Callithrix jacchus: one gene and its partner. The protein of the gene in region 2 interacts with the protein of the main gene of each other region in a biochemical or structural test. Links are inferred from orthologs where the notes say so. Each region holds a gene or a part of one and is shown on either strand. Other genes may lie near its edges.

Region 1 (2,541 bases), on a different chromosome or scaffold from region 2:
ACAGTGGCATGCACCTGTGCTCCCGGCTACTAAGAAGGCTGAGACAGGAAGATCGCTTGTGGCTTGGAGATCAAGACTGCACTCCAGCCTTGGTAACTGAGTGAGACCCCCTGTCTCAAAAAGAAAAAAAGAACAGACGGCTCTGCTAGATGCTTCCTGGGCTGTCCAGCCTGGGCCAGCTTGAGGCACCAACAGGAGCGGTGAGTGAGGACCATGGCATGGGCCCACACAGCAAGGAACAGCCTGTTCTGAAGAATGACCACCATAGGAGTCACAGGGGGAACGCCCAGGCAGTAGGAGGTGTGGCCCCAGCTGGGCACAGTGGCTCGTCCCTGTAATCCCAGCACTCTGGGAGGCTGAGGTGGGCAGATCACCTGAGGTCAGGAGTTCAAGACCAGCTTGGCCAATATTTTGAGGTAGAAACCCTGTCTCTACCTCAAAAAATAATTTAGGCCGGGCGCAGTGGCTCAAGCCTGTAATCCCAGCACTTTGGGAGGCCGAGGCGGGTGGATCACGAGGTCAAGAGATCGACACCATCCTGGTCAACATGGTGAAACCCCGTCTCTACTAAAAATATAAAAAATTAGCTGGGCATGGTGGCATGTGCCTGTAATCCCAGCTACTCAGGGGGCTGAGGCAGGAGAATTGCATGAACCCAGGAGGCAGAGGTTGCAGTGAGCCGAGATTGCACCATTGCACTCCAGCCTGGGTAACAAGAGCGAAACTCTGTCTCAAAAAAAAAAAAAAATTTAGCTGGGCATGGTGGCAGGCACCTGTAGTCCCAGCCACCCAGGAGGCTGAGGCAGGAGAATTGCTTGAACCCAGGAGGTGGAGGTTGCAATGAGCTGAGATCATGCCATTGCACTCCAGCCTGGGTAATAAGAAGGAAACTCTGTCTCAAAAAAAAAAAAATTAGAAAAGAAGGTATAGCCCTGGCCTGGGGAAGCATACAGCTTAGATGGAGCAATAACGTCCGCAAAGAGGAATAGCAAACACTTAAGGCAATTCGGGGAAAAGGGCGAATAGCATGGCATAAAGACAGAGCTAACTCAGCGATCACCGCTCCCACAGGGAAGATAAACACTGCACCTAATCGTTGGGGAGGCTCCCAGGTCAAACAATCAGTATACTCAGGGACAAGGACGAGCCAACTGTGTATCAGGATCAGGAAAGAAATCCTGGCCTCAGGCTGAGAAAGTGCCAGGGTTATGTAAGAGGCCGGCTGATGAGGAGAAACTCTTATTGGAGCAGCAGCCAGAGCCCACGTGCACCTACCATGAGCAGGTCCTTGCCCTCTGACTCCAGATTGGGCACGATCTCTTCTAGCCCCTTCCTGGTCCACTTAGGGAAGTTGCCCTTATAGTCAGGCAGCTGGGTGACCCCGGGCCATACGGCTTCACTGGGTGTCCCCAGCATACGAAAGATACGAAAGAGCTGGTCAATCTCAGAGTCACCAGGAAACAGGACTTTTCGAGTCACCTGGAATGGGGAAGAAGAGAAGGTATGGGGTCCGCCACTTTGTCATACAGAATCTATTATGAGATAAGTGGCCAGACCCAGGGAGATGCCTGTCAAGATAGCCTTCCCATGGTTATGCATAGAATTCTGGCCTTTTTTGGAATAAAGCTGGCTTCCTCAGTCCTTCAGCCAGTACCAAATACCTTTTTTAAAAAATAGAGATAGATTCTTGCTCTGTTGCCCAGGCTGGAGTGCAGTGGTGTAATCACAACTCACTGCAGCCTCCACCACAGGCTCAAGCAATCCTCCTGCCTCAGCCTCCTGAGTAGCTGGGACTACAAGCATGCACCATCACACCCAGCTAATTCTTGTATTTTTTTTTTTCCTTTTTATTTATTTATTTATTTTTTGAGACGGAGTTTCGCTCTTGTTATCCAGGTTGGCGTGCAATGGCGTGATCTCGGCTCACCGCAACCTCTGCCTCCTGGGTTCAGGCAATTCTCCTGCTTCAGCCTCCTGAGTAGCTGGGATTACAGGCATGCACCACCACGCCCAGCTAATTTTTTGTATTTTTAATAGAGACGGGGTTTCACCATGTTGACCAGGATGGTCTCAATCTCTTGACCTCGTGATCCACCCGCCTCGGCCTCCCAAAGTGCTGGGATTACAGGCTTGAGCCACCGTGCCTGGCCTTTTTATTTTTTATTTTTTTCCTTGCTTTTATTTCATCCCCAGACTTCCCAGGACAAGCCCAGACTTTCTTTTTTTTTTTTAGACAAAGTCTTGCTCTGTCACCCAGGCTGGAGTGCAGTGGCACAATCTCGGCTCATTGTAACCTTTGCCTCTTGAGTTCAAGCAATTCTCCTGCCTCAGCCTCCTGAGTAGCTGGGATTACAGGTGCACGACATTGCACCAAGCAAATTTTTTTTTTGAGACGGAGTCTAGCTCTGTCACCCAGGCTGGAGTGCAATGACATGCTCTCAGCTCGCTGCAACCTCCGCCTCCTGGGTTCAAAGCAACTCTCCTGCCTCAGCTTCCCTCCCTGGTAGCTGGAATTACAGGCATGCAGTACCATATCCAGCT
Region 2 (3,658 bases):
TAATTAGCATCTATATTGGTATAGTAAAGGCTAGTTATCATATATCAAATATATAGTCAGAAATCTTTATTAGTCTGTCTTTATTTAAACCATATAAGTTATGTTCTTGATAATAAAGCTGAAGAACATCATTAGCTTGACATGACTCAACAAAGATTTGAAAACATGAACATGGAACTAGTGCATATAAAGTTTTTTTTTGTCCTCCAATTCCTTGATAAGTGGTCATCATTCTAAATATAATGCTCTCCTAATGCCTGATCAATGATTTATTAGTTAGAATGTTCAGAATGTGACTTTTTTGCTAAAGAATACAACACAATTGATTTCACTAAGGATCAGGAAGTAGCCATCATTATCACCATAATATGGATTAATAATCACTATTAAAAAACTACCTAAGTATACATTTTCATACAGTGGCATGGGACTGTATAAATTTTTTTGTTTTGTTTGTTTTGTTTTGTTTTGTTTAAAGACGGGGTTTCACCATGTTTGTCAGACTGGTCTTGAACTCACAACCTCAGGTGATCCGCCCGCCTTGGCCTCCAAAGTGCTTGGATTACAGGTGTGAGCCACCACACCCGGCCTGTAAATTTTCTTATATAGAGATAACGTGGCATTTTAACAGCTTGGAACAAGTAGAAGGAGTCAGTACACAGATATCCAACTATAAGAACACCAAATAAATAAAGGATGATATAGAGGCACATGAGAGCATTTGTATCATATTGCCAGTTATTTATTACTTCATATTTTTCTGTAGAGTTTGCAATTTTTACCATGAGTATGTACTACTTAAATAATTAAATATACCATGCAAATATTTTCTAAAAGACTAATATATCTCCCTTTTCTTGTCCATGAGGGACAACCATATGGGCTGACAATTTCTGAAATGAGACTACATTAACTATACTAGCTAATCTGCCTCCTACTTTACACAAATAAAGTCAGTTTCAAATAGCCCCTGATAATATATAATTAGTCAACTGAAGCACTTCAAAGCCAGAGAGCACTTGTGGTTGGATGGGAAGATAATATAATGATTTATAGTTGCACACAACCTTTCATCTTAGAATTTAAAACAGCTTCATACTAATCATTTTGCTGATCCACAGCACCCTTGTGTAGTAGAGATAGAGACCTGCCCAAGGTAAGGTGGTAAAGAGGTTGCCAACAGGATTAGGAATGGACCTCTAAAGACTTAATTGACAGTAATCTACATTTAATATAACCAGCAGAATGAACAAAATCCACAGGAAGCAAAATTTATAGGACATCCAATAAACTACAAACTAAAAGTACTCAACCTAAAGTAACCTGCATTGTTTAGCAGATTGACTACTTACAAAAATATTAAAGTGTTTTGAAACATATAACCAAACTGGTTCAAAAACTGTTTACAAAAGAAGATACCCCTAGCAGTCAGGAAATCTGATAACTAAATTTGTAAACCCATCCAAGTAAATAGATTTTCTTTCCCCCTAGATTCTCATTATGTTACTTAAATAAACAAATAGACTCAAGAGTCTAGCTTATTTGAAATGAAGAAAGCGTTGTATTTTTATTCTTGGATCAAAATTATCCCCCTTTCATTCTTTACTACCTCTCTAACGAGAAAATACACACACCTTGTTCCTGGAGTCATTTTTGTTGGTGTTGGCAGACCTTCTGAAATTTTATATGGACTCTTCAGGGGTGATATATAGATGTTCCCTCCAGGAATCCGTAAGGGTGAACTAGGAAACTTATAAGGGCTTCGAGGAATGTGAGGTATTGGTGACAAGGTAGGGGGCTAGAGCAAAAACAAAAAAGTAGTATTATTTATTTAATGTTTTAATGGGACCCATTACTTTATAATTAGATATTTCCAATCAAAGGATACTTTTGACTTACCCTGGTGGAAGCATACTGCAAAATATTTGTTTTCAGTCTCTGCATGAAGACTGAGTTATAGAATACTATAATAGAATCATACTCCTCTTCTTTGATCAAAACACGTTTGAAAGTCTGAGGAAGAAGAGTAAAAAAAAAAAAGTAAAATTCACTTGTTAAATTAATTTTAAAATTTCTACCTTTAGATTTTCTTTTCTAAAAGTTTGTAAAACTTTTTGACTGGTAAGAAGCACATATTATACAGGAAAAAATAATCTAAAATGCCTTCTTAGGTTTGAATTATAGATGCTCTACTAGAAGCGAAATGTCATAGGATTATTGAGAAAAACAGCCAGGCAGCAGATGGAATAGCTGGCCATCCAAGAAGAGAGAGTAGACAGGCTGGTAGAATGGAAAGCATTATGGGAATCAAAGGGCCAGAACTAAGTGAAAGCCAATGACATTATCCATTAATATTTAGACTATATCCTCTGGCCTGTACCTCCCTGTATCGCCCCATTCTATAAGGGTTTAAATAGCATTACTCAATTGCAGGAAGTAGACACTTAGTAAAAGCACTATATTTTAGTGTTAGATTTCACTCAAATTTTAGTTAGGTAAAAACACAGAGGTTATATCAAATGCCTCTGACACATTATACACTTAAATGATTGAATTTAAAATAACTTCAAACATACAAACAAAAATGACTTGGTTTGTATTACTTTTGAAAACTCTAATAATAAATGGGAAAGATATCCCACAACTCACTTTCCACAGAACCGTATGAAACGTGTCATACCAAGTATATTTTACTACTCCTGTTTCTCTAAAGGGAAGGTAAATGTGTTTAGAAATACAAAATGTGTTTATACTGAACATATTTATTATTTCTTTGCAAGGTTGCATTTATGCTGACTTTTCCTATAAAGTAATAAAAATAAAAGATCATCTAATGTACTATGACTCATGCCAGGTTTATTATAAATACTTGCTTATTACACAGATAAAGCATTACTTGTTAAATTTATAAAAAAACCACGAATATGGATAATTTCATAATTTATCTTATCTTTCCAATTCCATTTAAGCATTTAAGTTACAAATAAATAATATAAAAATTTTTATTTGTAAATTTACATAAGATCAGAATATATGAGCCTGTGAATGAATAAAATTATCTTTATTACAGATATGGATTTATCAAACTTACTATGGAAAATCACCTACCTCCTGAACAGCATGAGGAAGATCTTTGTATGCTGTTACAATGATTTTGAATTTAAGGTCTATATTCTTCACTTTGCATATGCCATACATGGAACACATCATAATCTAGTAAATAAATATGATGTAAAACTAGTCAGAATTTTATTATGTGGTTTTGCTCTAAAAAAAAATAGTTTTCTTCCTTTTAGCCTCAAAAAAGAAAAGTTTAATTTCCTACATAGTTATTTCTTTCCATACTGAGCTCAATTTGAAACTCTACATGAAGTGTTTAACCCAAAGTGTATTTAAAGAACAAAATGCAAATGACCAAGGCTCAATTATTTAGGACTGATCACCTGGTTTGTAAATTACCCTAACTTTGGCTCCTGTCCCTTAAATGTTTCCCAGAAAAGTTGAAACTAGAATCAGTTAATTTTGCATAACTAGCACTTAAAAAAGCCAGGTGTTAAAATGTTTCAAACTAGCAGATAATATTGAACATACTTGGTGGTAGTGGTGAGGGTAAGGTGACTGGAAGGGCATGTAAGAGAGTCTTATGTGTTGTTGACAA

Evidence for each region. The genes of interacting proteins can lie anywhere in the genome.
Region 1: of the proteins of RB1 (region 2) and CDK3, one has a biochemical effect on the other in vitro, tested with the Homo sapiens proteins (2 studies listed by BioGRID). The link is inferred for Callithrix jacchus from reciprocal best matches to the Homo sapiens genes RB1 and CDK3.

The regions. Positions count from the first base shown.
Region 1 is NC_133506.1:131,897,410-131,899,950, reverse strand, and holds part of CDK3 (cyclin-dependent kinase 3), read right to left. Parts: intron 1,480-2,541; coding exon 1,276-1,479; intron 1-1,275. UniProt on the Homo sapiens protein: Serine/threonine-protein kinase that plays a critical role in the control of the eukaryotic cell cycle; involved in G0-G1 and G1-S cell cycle transitions. Interacts with CCNC/cyclin-C during interphase. Phosphorylates histone H1, ATF1, RB1 and CABLES1.
Region 2 is NC_133502.1:67,484,590-67,488,247, forward strand, and holds part of RB1 (retinoblastoma-associated protein), read right to left. Parts: intron 3,214-3,658; coding exon 3,109-3,213; intron 2,014-3,108; coding exon 1,900-2,013; intron 1,799-1,899; coding exon 1,635-1,798; intron 1-1,634. UniProt on the Homo sapiens protein: Tumor suppressor that is a key regulator of the G1/S transition of the cell cycle. The hypophosphorylated form binds transcription regulators of the E2F family, preventing transcription of E2F-responsive genes.